Linked DNA regions of Stegostoma tigrinum. The main gene of each other region encodes a partner of the protein of the gene in region 2 in a complex. Links are inferred from orthologs where the notes say so. Each region holds a gene or a part of one and is shown on either strand. Other genes may lie near its edges.

Evidence for each region. Proteins that work in one complex are often made in the same cells at the same time.
Region 1: the proteins of insulin receptor-like (region 2) and growth factor receptor-bound protein 14-like are in contact, whole or in part, in a crystal structure (PDB 2AUH), measured with the Homo sapiens proteins. The link is inferred for Stegostoma tigrinum from reciprocal best matches to the Homo sapiens genes INSR and GRB14. Residues at the interface, in NP_000199.2 of Homo sapiens: Leu1065, Arg1066, Ile1069, Glu1070, Lys1112, Arg1116, Arg1163, Met1180, Arg1182, Tyr1190, Lys1192, Gly1193, Gly1194, Lys1195, Gly1196, Leu1197, Leu1198, Pro1199, Val1200, Trp1202, Ser1207, Leu1208, Lys1209, Asp1210, Gly1211, Gln1235, Asn1242, Glu1243, Leu1246; in NP_004481.2 of Homo sapiens: Glu373, Asn374, Ser375, Leu376, Val377, Ala378, Met379, Asp380, Phe381, Ser382, Ser386, Val388, Ile389, Glu394, Val398, Ala399, Glu401, Glu402, Gly403, Leu404, Trp406, Arg407.

The regions. Positions count from the first base shown.
Region 1 is NC_081360.1:62,661,024-62,668,774, reverse strand, and holds the start of growth factor receptor-bound protein 14-like, read left to right. Parts: upstream 1-4,737; 5' UTR 4,738-5,252; coding exon 5,253-5,327; intron 5,328-5,620; coding exon 5,621-5,777; intron 5,778-7,751. UniProt on the Homo sapiens protein: Adapter protein which modulates coupling of cell surface receptor kinases with specific signaling pathways. Binds to, and suppresses signals from, the activated insulin receptor (INSR). Potent inhibitor of insulin-stimulated MAPK3 phosphorylation.
Region 2 is NC_081383.1:6,991,457-6,999,413, reverse strand, and holds the start of insulin receptor-like, read left to right. Parts: upstream 1-4,906; 5' UTR 4,907-6,077; coding exon 6,078-6,153; intron 6,154-7,957. UniProt on the Homo sapiens protein: Receptor tyrosine kinase which mediates the pleiotropic actions of insulin.

The DNA.
Region 1 (7,751 bases), on a different chromosome or scaffold from region 2:
AAAGTGTAAGCAGGCGAGTTGTGGGACACTTTTGATGTGGATGTACACTTAGGCAAGGAATCATTGATACTTAGCCTCACAAATATCTCTCATACTGCAAAAGGGAGAATAGTAAAATGATAAAGTTTTAGTTATGTGTTTCTTGCTTAATTTTCTCAAATAAATATTACATCTAGTGACTGATTATTTCACCAAATTTCCTTTTATGTGATAAAATCAAAGAAGTCACTTGTGAAATGTTTGTTGACACGTTGACCACCATGTTCAGCGTACCTCAACAAATTATATCCAGCAACAATCTTCAGTATACTAATGTATCCTTCTAAGACTTCAAATCATAGGGTCATGCAACACGGAAACAGACCCTTCAGTCCAACTTGTATATGCCAACCATGTTTCCCAAACTAAAAGAGGACTACTTGCCTGTGTTTGGCCCATATCTCTCAAAATCTTTCCTATTCATGTACCTTTCCAAATGTCTTTTAAATGTTGTAACTGGACCTGCTGCTCCCACTTCCTCTGGCAGTCCATTCCACATACAAGCTGCCCTCTGTGTAAAAAAAGTTGCTTCTCATCTCCCCTTTAAATCTCTCTCCTCACACCTTAAAAATACCCTCTAGTTTTGAACACCCCTACTCTAGGAAAAAGACCATTGCTATTGACCTTATCTGTGCCCCTCATGATTTTATAAACCTTCATAAGGTCACCCCTCAACTTCCTGCACTCCACTGAAAAACAATCCTGCTTATCCAGCTCCCTTGTAACTCAAGCCCTCCAGTCACATGTGCAGGAAATGGGGTATTCAACTTATTACCTTTTCCCTTAACCAACGTCAATTGAAATGTTCTTGCAGAACACTGCATTGCCTTTAAAGTTGATAATAAATTAACTCTTGCATTGAAAATGTTACTCTAGATGTTTGAGTAGCTTTAGTGACATCACAATTTCATCATGACTGCAAAAATTGAAGAAGGGTAAGGAGTTGAGACATTGGCATTCTTATTCTGATGTCCTTTTATGAGAAATTGGAAACTTTATACTTCTGTTTAATTTGTGTGTTTTTTTTGAATTACGACATTTTAAAGAACAATATAGATGCATTCATATTTGCTCACGGAAAGTGGGTGTTGCTAGACAGGCCAAAATCTATTAACCATCCCTAACTGACCTCAACAAGTTGTTCTAGGGGTATCAGGCTACCCACAGTGCAGTTAGTAAGGGCATTACTAATTAAAAACTTTCTATCCCTTACATTTATTCAGTGTACTGGTGTCCACTGCACTTAAAGGTAGTGAATCCCACAGATTCCTGATCATTTGATACGGTGCCTCACGGGAGGCTGCTGAGCAAGGTGAGGGCCCATGGTGTTAGAGGTGAACTACTGGCTTGGATTGAGGATTGGCTGTCTGACAGAAGGCAGAGAGTTGGGATAAAAGGCTCTTTGTCGGAATGGCAACCGGTGATGAGTGGTGTCCCGAAGGGTTCAGTTTTGGGGCCGCAGCTGTTCACCTTATATATTAATGATCTGGATGAAGGGACTGGGGGCATTCTGGCGAAGTTGGCCGATGATACAAAGATAGTGGACAGGCAGGTAGTACTGAGGAGGTGGGGAAGCTGCAGAAAGATTTAGAATGTTTAGCAGAGTGGTCCACGAAATGGCTGATGAAATTCAATGTGAGTATATGTGAGGTTTTGCACTTTGGAAAAAAGAATATAGGCATGGACTATTTTCCAAATGGTGAGAAAATTCAGAAAGCAGAAGTACAAAGGGATCTGGGAGTGTTGGTCCAGGATTCTCTAAAGTTTAACTTGCAGGTAGAGTCCGTAATTAAGAAAGCAAATGTAATGTTGTCGTTTATCTCAAGAAGGCTGGAATATAAAAGCAGCAATGTGCTTCTGAGGCTTTATAAAGCTGTAGTTAGGCCCCATTTAGAATACTGTGTCTAATTTTGGGCCTCACACCTCAGGAAGGACATACTGGACCTGGAGCGTGTCCAGCGGTGATTCACACGGATGATTGCTGGAATGGTAGGTTTAACGTATGATGAATGGCTAAGGATCCTGGGATTGCACTCATTAAAGTTTAGAAGGTTGAGGGGAGATCTAATAGAAACTTACAAGATAATGTATGGTTTAGAAGGGGTGGACGCTCGGAAGTTGTTTCCGTTAGGCGGGGAGACTAGGGCCCGTGGGCACAGCCTTAAAATTAGAGGGGTAAATTTAAAACTGAAATGAGATGACATTTCTTTAGCCAGAGAGCGGTGGGCTTGTGGAATTCATTGCCACAGAGTGCAGTGGATGCCGGGACGTTGGATGCCTTCAAGGTGGAGATCAACAAATTCTTGATCTCAGAAGGAATCAAGGGCTACGGTGAGAGTGCAGGGAAGTGGAGTTGAAATGCCCATCAGAGATAGTGGGAACTGCAGATGCTGGAGAATTCCAAGATAATAAAATGTGAGGCTGGATGAACACAGCAGGCCAAGCAGCATCTCAGGAGCACAAAAGCTGACGTTTCGGGCCTAGACCCTTCATCAGAGAGGGGGATGGGGAGAGGGAACTGGAATAAATAGGGAGAGAGGGGGAGGCGGACCGAAGATGGAGAGTAAAGAAGATAGGTGGAGAGAGTGTAGGTGGGGAGGTAGGGAGGGGATAGGTCAGTCCAGGGAAGACGGACAGGTCAAGGAGGTGGGATGAGGTTAGTAGGTAGCTGGGGGTGCGGCTTGGGGTGGGAGGAAGGGATGGGTGAGAGGAAGAACCGGTTAGGGAGGCAGAGACAGGTTGGACTGGTTTTGGGATGCAGTGGGTGGGGGGGAAGAGCTGGGCTGGTTGTGTGGTGCAGTGGGGGGAGGGGACGAACTGGGCTGGTTTAGGGATGCAGTAGGGGAAGGGGAGATTTTGAAACTGGTGAAGTCCACATTGATACCATATGGCTGCAGGGTTCCCAGGCGGAATATGAGTTGCTGTTCCTGCAACCTTCGGGTGGCATCATTGTGGCACTGCAGGAGGCCCATGATGGACATGTCATCTAGAGAATGGGAGGGGGAGTGGAAATGGTTTGCGACTGGGAGGTGCAGTTGTTTGTTGCGAACTGAGCGGAGGTGTTCTGCAAAGCGGTCCCCAAGCCTCCGCTTGGTTTCCCCAATGTAGAGGAAGCCGCAACGGGTACAGTGGAAACGTCAGCTTTTGTGCTCCTGAGATGCTGCTTGGCCTGCTGTGTTCATCCAGCCTCACACTTTATTATCCTGAAATGCCCATCAGCCATGATTTAAATAACGGTGTGGACTTGATGGGCCGAATGGCCTTACTTCCACTCCTATGTCTTATGGTCTTATGGTTTATTTGCAAGACGTAATCTATAAGTCTATTTTAAACCTGTAACCTCTAAGCTTGAAAGCTTTTTCTTTGTAGGAACAGTTTGGGATTGTCCACAGGGCAATTTCAAATACCCACCTTAAAAAATGTTCTGCAGTCGCTTGCATTTATTTCAGAGAGAACACTGGAGATACTCAGCAGGTCTGGCAGCATCTGTGGAGAGAGAAATAGAGTTTTGAGTCTGTTATGACAACACAACATCAGATGCATCCTATGGACATCAGTGCGCAGTTCCTGCATGCATCCTAAGGAATATGACATATCAAAACATGGACCACTTTCTCAATGGTGCAACTTGTGCATTCAAAGCTATGAGCTATTATGGCACACATGAGCTGCATGGATTCTTTCATTCTTAGCCCACAACTGCACATAGCCTGAGAAAACTGTGACATGTACAGGAAAGCTGTTGCTGTTTCACAAGGTGGGAGCTCTTTTCCAATGACTACTGAAGGCTTGCAACAGGATTATATCTATATTCCCTCCTCTGAAGGGAACTGAGCAGAGCTGTCTTTTGCTTTTTTTAAAAAATATTATTTTGATTACAGCGGCATCAATTATAATAAAGTAAATATTTCATCTATCATTAATCAAATGTAAGTGACTATTTGATTTCTATTTCACAGTAAAGAATTTATGAGGTCGCTTTAATTTGGAATTATTACATTTGACCTCCAAACATTATCATTTATAAGTTTAGATTGTACATTTCAACTTAATTGGAACTTTTTTTGTATTCGGATATCTTGGACTAAAGCGAGTTGAATACAGTTGTATTAATTAAAACGTTTTCAGGCAAAGATACGGGCATTGAAGCATTGTGTTCTGCACCTCACGATAAAATAAGCACTGTTCCTCGTGAAATATGATAGCTCTGAGCTTTTGTTTGGCCGAGCCACTGAAATTAAAACGCATACAGGGACACTATTGGAATTAAGTCTGAGTGCATTTCCTACATCATTTCTCTATAAGGGAAGTAACTTTTTGCGTTAATATCGCTATAATTTTAAACTTTAATTCCGCAAAATGTAAATTTCTTTCAAGAATTTGCATTTTGTCAAATTGCATTTGTCAAGGAGCTAAGATAACGATGGTTTCAATATTATACTTCGCCAGTCTAAAAATGCGTTGATCATGCAAGATAATCAATTATGGAAAAGACTTCGGTACATGAGGTTTTACGTTTATATTCTGCGTTTGGAGATCCTTTAGTTTTTGTCTTCGAAATCTCCATGCTGACTGATTTAAATAGCAGATTATTTACCTCGGTTCAAGTGGCCTCATAACTCCTCTATAACAAAGTGTAGAGCTGGATGTAACTCCCATTTGCTAAAGCCTTTGATAGCACTTAATCTAGACAAATCGGAATACGCTAAGATATTTTGTGCGTAAGGAGGCTAATTTGTCTCGCCCCTTCTGATCTCATTTACAAACGAAAACTACATGAAGGCTGCTTCAGCAAGTCCGAGGAAGTGCCTTTTGTCTCTCCCCCACCATCCTTCGACGTGAGGCAGAGTTGAATAACCTAAAGTTACAATCGAGTCTTATTTCCATTTTGGTTTCATCCACTTAAAAGCTAGGTTATATGAGTAACCATTCATTCAAATTGAAGTGCGAATCAGAAGTCGTGCAGGCATAGTTCACTCTCTTGGCTTTAAGTTTGAGTACGAAGGGAGGTTCAGCCCATGCTGATTCTTGGAAAGCTAGCCGGTGATTGGGTGAAAAATGTAATAACATGCGGCGGTGGAGTGAGGAGACTGGTGGTGACAGACAGCACCGTATCATCACCTCGTTTTAGACGAGTGCAAGTGTAGATAAGTCCAGTTGATTTGATGTGTCCTAATGTGCAATTTTAGGTTACTTGTGCAATCTTTTTTATAATGCAATGCATACATACTTGCAATGATTGTGGAGCTGACCAAGATATTCAAATTCGTTTGTCGTCATCTCTGCTGGTAAGTAAGGAATGCTAAATAAATAATCAAGATAGAAAAATGTGAACGTTTAGAGAGGGGTTTGAATTTGTTTTTAAATCTGGATGGTATTATAGTTAGTAACATGATTGTGCAGCTTTGTTTTTATCTGGTAGACTAAAATTTGGACAGTTTTCATTTAAAAATTGAAGAGATTTCCATTTTCAGTCATCTATAAGCAGACCATTAAATGATTAATTCATTTCACTTGCTAACATGATTTAGCATATGCATCTATTACAATTTATGCCTTACCCCTTGGTTTTTATATGCAGGTCATTAAAGTATTTAATGAAGATGGCACTAGCCAGACATTGGAGGTACCAAATGACATCATAGCTCGTGATGTCTCTCAGTTGTTTCTCATGAGAAGTCACTGTGTCAGTGACAATACCTGGACACTCATCGAGCATCTTCCTCATCTTGACATGGGTAAATGTGAACATTATGCTTATGAATTTATCTACATGAAGCTGAATTTTTCATTTTTGCTTAGCTTTGTTGCTGTTGATTTTATTTAAAGCCATGTGTTTCAAAGAAATCTTTTTACTCCATATATGCAAGTTGTATGTGTTTTGCATGCATGTTCCGTTCTGTGGCTCATGGTTTATTGTATCATTCCTTTCTTCAACTTAGTCAATTGTGCAGTTGCACAGGCCCAATTTTAGTGCCTATCACAGTGCATATAGAAGCATCTCTTTGAAACAGTTAGCTCCAAATTAAATTGTCCAGTTGTCTGCAGGTAGTCAACTACTATTTTCATAGAGGCAGTCCCTAAGGTAATTTCCATGATAGCCTTTCAATGAGCTTCTAATGATGGTGAATTGGCTGACTGCTTCATATTCTGCAAGATTTTACTTTGACTTTCAACAAAATCTGGTGAGGTGCCAAGTTGAGAGTAGAAACGATCCTGTCGGTAACTCACTTGAAGGACTATGTTAAAATAACTTATGTATTTTGGCAAAATACCCTACTTGTCACTATCTTAATACTCTAAAAACTACCATTTTGATTCAAAAATGCTTCCGATTTGTTGATTAAAGCTAATACTTTCTGTGAAAGTTATCCACATTTTCTGCTGAGCATTGCTTCATTAATGGGATCCACTCCACTTGTATTTATTATTTTATTGCACTGTTGAGGAACTTCTGAAATCTCCATTCGTGCATGATTTCCCTTTTTAATGATAAAAAGTGTTGATTTGAAATTTTAGCTTTGCAGCTGACCTAGACTCAATGGCTTTATTTGGAGGTCACAGTTCCACATGTTCTCTCAACTTTGTGAGGACTTTGCACTTAAGCTGAGATGTAACACATCACGTTGAGCAGTATCAATGGAGTGAAACTGAACTAATGTATCAAATCAAAGCAAATCGAAGAAAGGTTTATGGAAGCTGGAAATCTGAAACAAAAACAATCCGCTGAAGAGATGCCTAACCTGAAGAAGTTACCCTCCTCCCTCCGGACCAACCTCAGGGAATCTCTCTCCCATTGCAACTCTCTTGTAATCTCTTCGGCCTTGAAACTGCTCGACCATGTCCTGAAGCAAACCAGGTACCACAGCCACATCACCTTCCTCAGCACCTGCCTACGGAACCGGATCATCCCCAAGGGACTACAGTCTACGTTTCAGTCTTCCCAATTTGGCCCCAACCGTGACCACCTCTACACCCAGAATATTAGACAGCCACACTGAACCTTGCCGCATCTTCACCATCCCCCCAGACCTCCCACTGACTGAGGACGAACGGTCAGTTCTTAGCAAGGGGCTCACCTTTGTCCCCCTACAACCACACATCAACGAATACCAGTCACGATTGGACATAGAGCAGTTTTTCCGCCGTCTTCGCCTCCATGCCTACTTCTTCAATCGGGAACCTAACCCTCCCTCCACCGACCCCTTCACCCGCTTCCAACACAAGTCCTCCTCCTGGACACCACCCCCAGGCCTCCTACCCTCCCTCGACCTCTTCATCTCTAACTGCCGTCGAGACATTAACCACCTCAACCTCTCCACCCCTCTCACCCACTCACCCACTGCATCCCAAAACCAGTCCAACCTGTCTCTGCCTCCCTAACCTGTTCTTCCTCTCACCCATCCCTTCCTCCCACCCCAAGCCGCACCCCCATCTACCTACTAACCTCATCCCACCTCCTTGACCTGTCCGTCTTCCCTGGACTGACCTATCCCCTCCCTACCTCCCCACCTATACTCTCTCCACCTATCTTCTTTTCTCTCCATCTTCGGTCCGCCTCCCCCTCTCTCCCTATTTATTCCAGAACCCTCACCCCATCCCCCTCTCTGATGAAGGGTCTAGGCCCGAAACGTCAGCTTTTGTGCTCCTGAGATGCTGCTTGGCCTGCTGTGTTCATCCAGCCTCACATTTTGTTGTCTTGGATTCTCCAG
Region 2 (7,957 bases):
CTGTGTTCATCCAGCTTCACACTTTGTTATCATTGCCCGATTGTTTCCTTCTTCTTTCCAGCTGGCTTGGAATGCTAAGATAATTGGAAAGCTCTTGCTGCAAACACTGGATAAGATTGAAAAGGTTTGTATAGAACCTGCAACCTTCTTTTTCTCTGTAGTTCTGCAGCCCACTAAGCATGGATTCATTGGGTTAGCTTGAAGAAGAAACAAGTTGAAGCACGCTGCAGAGCATGCATGTGTGTGCTGGTGAAGCACTGTCTAAGCACTGTCTGTAAAAGCAGAGTAAAACACTTGTTTAATATTTTGGCGCTAAGAAGGGTGCGTACACATATTTGCCTTATTGGGAGTCAAATGATGTTTAGCCTGGAAACATTTGCTACCAGATGATTAAAGATTAATTCCCGCAAAAATGTGCGCCTTTAAATTAATCAAAATATTACAGTCATGTCCTGTCATAGAAGTGCTACCTAATTACAGAATGTTAATGAGCTAATTCCAGCAAGTTTGTATTTCATAATATAATAAAATGTGAGGCTGGATGAACACAGCAGGCCAAGCAGCATCTCAGGAGCACAAAAGCTGACGTTTCGGGCCTAGACCCTTCATCAGAGAGGGGGATGGGGGGAGGGAACTGGAATAAATAGGGAGAGAGGGGGAGGCGGACCGAAGATGGAGAGTAAAGAAGATAGGTGGAGAAGGTGTGGGTGGGGAGGTAGGGAGGGGATAGGTCAGTCCAGGGAAGACGGACAGGTCAAGGAGGTGGGATGAGGTTAGTAGGTAGCTGGGGGTGCGGCTTGGGGTGGGAGGAAGGGATGGGTGAGAGGAAGAACCGGTTAGGGAGGCAGAGACAGGTTGGACTGGTTTTGAGTGGGTGAGAGGGGTGGAGAGGTTGAGGCGGTTAATGTCTCGACGGCAGTTGGAGATGAAGAGGTCGAGGGAGGGTAGGAGGCCTGGGGGTGGTGTCCAGGAGGAGGACTTGTGTTGGAAGCGGGTGAAGGGGTCAGTGGAAGGAGGGTTGGGTTCCCGGTTGAAGAAGTAGGCATGCAGGCGAAGACGGCGGAAAAACTGCTCTGTGTCCGACCGTGACTGGTATTCGTTGATGTGTGGTTGTAGGGGGACAAAGGTGAGCCCCTTGCTCAGGACTGACCGTTCGTCCTCAGTCAGTGGGAGGTCTGGGGGGATGGTGAAGATTCGGCAGGGCTCAGGGTGGCTGTCTCCTCTGGGGTTGCAGGCTGTGGAGGTTCCTGAGATGCTGCTTGGCCTGCTGTGTTCATCCAGCCTCACATTTTATTATCTTGGAATCTCCAGCATCTGCAGTTCCCATTATCTCTGATTGTATTTCATAATTGTATTTTTCACATCATTTTACCATGGTTTCGGAGACTCTCATCATCAGACTGAGTTTTACTGACTGTGGCTGCCTTACTGAAGAAGTAACTTCTATTCAGACCCTTGCTTGTAACATTTATGGGAAGGTTGATAGTGAGGGTGCGACAGGGAACCCACAGTGGCTTGGTCACAGCGGGTAAAAATGAAACAGTCTGTCTTGTCATGTCTAGTCATCCAGGTCAATGGCCTTAGTTTGTAATTTCTACAACATTTACATTTTTGCCACCTTCCCACCCAAAATTTGCTTATGGAATCAGGGACATCCCTGGCACGGCCAGTATTTATTACCTATTCTTAAATCATAGAAGCAGGCCAATCAACAACAGTATTTTGAACAGCATCCATGCAGTCCCACCCCCTACCCTATCCCTGTAAACCTGCATTGCCCCATGGATAATCCGTCTCACCTAAACATCCCAAAACTACGGGCAATTTTGCAATAGCCAATCTACCTAACTGCACATCTTTGTTCTGTGGGAAGATCCCAGAGAAAACTCCACACAGATGATCACCCAAGGCTGAGATTGAATCCAGGTCTCTCGCAGTGTGAGGCAGTAGTGCTAACCACTGAGCCATTGTGTTGCCAATGGCTCTTGAGTAGGTATTGATGGGCTGTCATCTTGAGCTGTTACAGTTCATGTGGCTCAAACCATGACCATGCTGCTGGGAGGGAATTTAGCAACAAAACCTTCCACTTTTATAGTGCCTCTATGTGGTAAAAAATCTCAAGCTACTTCACCGATGCATATGGAAACAAAATTTGACCCTGAGCCATACAAAGAGCTATTAGGACAGGGACAAAAAGCTTGGTCAAAGAAGTAAGGTTTAAGTATTTTATTTAAAGGAGGATGGGGGAGAGAAAGATAGAGGAGCTGAGGTGGGTTATGCAGGATAGTCAAATGTTCAAAGTCAAAACAGCTGAATGCATGGTGAAACGATTAAAATTGTTAATCCACGAAAGATAAAAATTTGATGTATGGCGATATCTCAGTGGGTCTTTGTGCTGGAGGAGATTACAGAGAAAGGGAGAGGTAAGAACATGGAGGAATTGGCAAACATGAAGGAGAATTCTAAAATTATGCTATTTTGTGATTGGGAGCCAATGTAGTTCTGTGAGCACATGGGTCTTGGGTGAATGGGACTTGGTGCGAATTAGGACAGAAACAATAGAGTTTTTAATACACTGAATAAAAACCAAAAGTACAGCGGACGCTGTAAATCATAAACAAAAGCAGAAGCTGGAAAAGCTCAGCAGGTTTGGCAGCATCTGTGAAGAGAAACCAGAATTAACGTTTGGGTCTGGTGACCCTTCCTCAAGGCACTTCGGCTGGTGTAAAATCTGAAAAATACCACACAGATCCAATAGGGGGAACTCTTTTCAGCTGGGGCAATAGGCACTTTGTTGGAGTGGAGTATTTAACAAATGGTATTCCTGGCTGATAGCTCAATGCTGACACTTGATACGCAAAATGCCAAAAATATATCGTTATTCAAAAGTGAAAATTTAGCACAGAATGAATAAATATTTTTTCAGATACCAAAACATTTAAAAAGTCCAGTTTGAGAATACATTGCACAATATACGAGCATATGATCAATTAACAAGTTTAAATTGGCTACAGTGACAAAGCTGAGGATACCCCAAAAGGTACTTAATTGGCTGTAAAATGTATTGAGGTGAAGGAGGTCACGAAAGGTGCTTATAAATATTCAAGTTTTTTTTAGCTAATTCCTTTTTTAATTGATAGGGGCGATGATAGCCTAGAGGTATTGCTGCTGAACTGTAAATCCAGAAACCCAGGTAATGTTCTTCAGAGATAACAAGGTGTGGAGCTGGATGATCACAGCAAGCCAAGCAGCATCTTAGGAGCAGAAAAGCTGACGTTTCAGGCCTGGACCCTTCAACAGAAATGGGGGAGAGGAAGAGGGTTCCGAAGTAAATAGGGAGAGATGGGGAGACAGATCGAAGATGGATAGAGGAGATGATAGGTGGAGAGGAGACAGACAAGTTAAAGAGGCAGGGATGGGTTTAGGCCGGAATCATCAGCTTTCCTGCTCCTAAGATGCTACTTGGCCTGCTGTGTTCATCCAGCTCTACACCTTGTTATCTTGGATTCTCCAGCATCTGCAGTTCCTATTATATCTAATGCTCTTCAGATCCGGGTTTGAATCCTGCCATGGGAGATGATGGAATTTGAATTCAATAAATATCTGGAATTCAGACTCCGCGAAAGCATTGTTAATTATCAGGGGCGGAAAGTCCATATGGTTCATTCATACCCATTACATGTTCTGGCTGACTTGTGTCTCCAGACCCATGGTGATTTGCCCTCTGGGCAATTAGGGAACGGTCAATAAATGTTGAATGAATCCTGTGAATGAATAAAAAAAATTCACTAATTTGTCTACAATGTTCAGTAATAATGATACCTTTGACATATGAATACACCTCAAAGTGCTGCACTTCAGACTGCATGAAAGAGATGAGCAAACAATTTCATCTAAAAGACGGGGTGAGAGAGTGATAGAGGTACAGTGAGATTTAGGAAGAAATCTCAGGGCTTCATACCTGAACAACTGAGCACAGTTCCTAATAGTGGAGCAACAGAAAAAGGGGTTTGTAAGAGGTCAGGATTCCAAAATCAGATATCTCAAAGATCGTCATGGGGCTAGGCGATACTATCCATTCTTGGGATGTGGGCATTGATGGCAGGATCAGTTACCCTTAAATTGATTGGCTTGCTAGCCATTTCAGAGTGCAGAAAACAGTCAACCATATTATTATGGATGTGGAGTCACATGTAGGCCAGAATAGCAAGGACAGCAAGTTAGTTTCTTTCCTCGTTACAGAAATGGATTATACAAAAAGGGAGGGGACCGTGATAGAGGACTTTGAAAAAAAGGATGAGAATTTTAAATCTAATTATTTTCAAAGTTGATGCCAATGTAGGCCGCTACCCACTGGGGTGATGGGTAAACAGGACTTGGTGCGAGTTGGGATACAGATCAGAAAGTTTTGAGTGGGCCCAAATTTATGAAGGAATTGGAGGTCTGATAAGGAGAAAATTGAAGGGAATTAAAGAACATTAATGCATCTGCTGAAATGCAGGATTAAATAAAAGTACACATACTCATCAAACATTGCTATCGTGCTACCTTACATTGTGTAAAATTTCAGAATGCCCTTTTCGAATAAATATTATCTCGTCTCTGAATTGTTCTTTTGCCTTCAGTCCAATCCAATCTGAGGTGGCTCCGCTCACATTTTCAATGTCTCCGAAACAATGTGTCTTGTAAAACCTGTTTTCTTTTTTATCTTCTCGCATCCACAGTCCAGATTTTAGATTTCTCTCTCGCTCTCTCGCTCTCTCTCTGTCTCTCTCCGTTTTTAACAGTCCAGTCCATGAAACTGTAAACTCCTGGTTCAGATTTTTGTGACTGTCGAGGCTCACTTGCTCTCCCCTCCCTCTCCTCACTGGGCTGGCGGTGCTTGTTTACTCGACACAGCCAGAAGAAGTTTGCGCGTGGTTTAAGGTTCAAGGCTCCTCTGCTCCTCAAAATCGTATTTTTATTTTGTTGCTTGTCCACCAGTTCCCCTCCCTCAAAAAAAGAACAATTACATTTCAATTTATTTTACAAAGAAGAAACACAAGAGAAAGAGGAAAAAAATAATTGGGAAAAAAAGAAAATCAGTTTGGAGTGTGTTGAAGCCAAAAGGGGAAAATACCTTGAAGGATTTTGTTATGCAGTTTGGCGCCTGGTGTTCTGATAATTTATTAAACATTTTTTTTGTTTTGTTCCAATGGTGAATTAGTGATCTCTTTGATGTTTTCTTTGGGCGACTTTGCAATAGAGGAAAAAAAAGAAGAGGAAGCCTAGGCAGAAAGCCAAAGAAAATCAAGTTGATATCGGCTCAAGGAAAATTGTCTTGGAGGATATTTTGGTTTATGTTTGTCGTTTTCTCGACAGATTGTTTCCTGAAGGGATTTTATTTTTAATTCTCTCTCCTCAGGACTGGTAATGTGGGGGAAGAAAGCGGACAGTTTCATCTTCCCGTGATATCATCGAGTTAAAAGGAAATATAAATATATGAAAGGAGTTTGAATATGATATAAAAGAGAAGGAAATGAGGGCTTTCTTGCACTGGGGACTTTGCAGTGAAGCTACAAGCTTTACAACTCCAATGTGATTTCCAGAGCTTTTATTTTGCAGAAGACAATTGAGGAAGATTTCTTCTGCTGCTGTGGAAAAATTAATCCACCAGAAACAAAATAAAGGAGAGGGGAGTTTTTTTTTATTTCCTTGTTCTCCCCAACAATCTCGCCAAAAAAGATTTTGTGGACACGGGTTGAAAAAATACAGATTATTCCCCCACCCTCATAGACAGAATGAAGAATTTGTTCCAATTTAACTGTCAAGATCACTTTATTTAATATTTGTTCAGAGACGATTCAAGAAAATTTCATTTGGAGGGGTCCCTAAAATAGTTGTTATTCTTTGAGAGATTACTTTCTTTTGAAAAAAGCTGCCAGTTCGAAGTGCTGTCCCAAAAACAACTTTTATTAGGCTTGCTGTACATCCCTGAGTTTTATTTTGGTTTTTATTCAGTTATATCCAAGGCCTGTGTGCTTGTGGGGACCGTGGGTTTTGATTTTGATCTGCACCAGGAGAATTCCAGTTCCAGGATGGGGAGGAAGACTTTGATACCAGCCATGGTGACCCTCTTCATCCTGGCCAATATTGGCCCAACAGAACCAAAAGGTAAGTGTTTAAAAACCTTCAAACTAAATCAAGCTTTGTAATTTCACAGTCATTAAGGTTTACAGATAATTTATTCTGACGCGGGTGCATTTTTCCTTCTAAAATTCTGCTAATTTGTGTGAAAATTTAGTCCTGTCAACCTCTTCTCCCAGATTGCTGTAGTTTACGGCCTAATGTGCATCCCAAAGCCTGGGTTTGGATTAGAGAGGGTAGGGGCGACACCTCACACGAATGTAGCTGCAGCTAAAATCGAGAGTCGGGGATGAAGCCTGGACAGGCCCTGTTTTCTTTAATGTTCAGTTTTAAAACAAAAACCTCATTTCTTCCAATGTGAAGTTGTTCTTTTACCATTCTGACATTCAAACCGATTTCCCAATTTTGCTTGGATTTGTAACTGAAGATCTTTTTTGAATGTTACAGTCAGAGTAAACACATTGGTGAGAAGGCAGGACAGATGCAGGTTATTTAAGGAGAGAAAACATCAATTTTAATTGTCTGTGTGCGTTTCAAAAGACATTAATGTTGAAGCTCCTCATTGGGATTAATATGCAGGTTGACAGATTGTGATGGTTTGATTTGGAAAGAGTATGAGATTAATTTGTGAAAACTCTGAGCTTTCCATATCGGAACCTTGAAAATACTGATTTGTTATAAAACACTGCAGGTATTAAAATACCTCTTTTCCAGAATTTTCTGTCATTGTGTGAGTTTTTTTATCTCGCAATTTCATTCTAACGTTAGTGATTATGTTGATTTCTTGGCTAAGTGTATGAATCTGGACATGATCACTGATCCACTTTTCAAAAGTTGTTTGAATCCCTGGAATACCAGTGAAAATCCCATGTAATAAAAAGGAGATTTGACTTGTTCGGTCAGTGCATTGAAAATGGATAAGAGAGCATTCCTCAAGCATTAGGCACAGCCTGAGATTCCATGTAATATAAAGTTGAATTTCACTGATTCATGGTTATATGGTGGCTCTTTGTGTCAAAAGTTGGATCATTAAAATGTTTTTGTAAACTGGGTTCTAGTGAAAGTTGTGTCTGTGACTTTAAGAAAGACTTTCATTCCTACTTTTTAAAAAAACACATTGTGATGTGATTTATTGCCACCCCTTACTAATGTTTCATCTTTTTAAAATATCTAGCATGGGAGAAAATATCACTTATGAAGTGTGCCCCATTATTTTAGAGAATGCTGTAATATAGAATTTAAAGTTATCCCAATATTATAGACAGAAATGTGCATTTTAAAGAGTTCTTTTTATCATGTGGCGACAGTGTTATTGTGGGCGAAGATCTTTCACCTGTGGAAGTATAGATTACAGTCAGATCTGACCGCAGCGGGTGAGAATACATTGTCATCCAGGAGATGATTCTTTGCTGTTCAAGGCAAGCTGGCTAGTAAATAAGAGTCACTTTCACAACTGCAAAATGTGTCAAATAGATTTTATTGAACACTTTTGTTGATACTCCTTTGAAATCCAGCTTTTAAATGCTGCTGCTTTATTTAGTTTACCCTCCACCTCAACCCCATTGTTTTGTTTCAAAAATATTGTGAATTATGTGTTTGGTTTGACCGGCACTTGCCCTGAAATTTTTTTTTGTATTAGAAATTCCATTTGCTGTGAGAATTCAGGTGTACGAGCTGTTTCACTGGAGTTCTGGATACTACGTGTTTCGTCCTGGAGAAAGGGAGTTGTATTAATATTGTACTTTTCACGGCCACTAGACATCACTAATTGTGGTTTACAGACTGTGAAGCATTTTTTGAAATGTGGTCACTGTTGTCATTGTAGGAAACA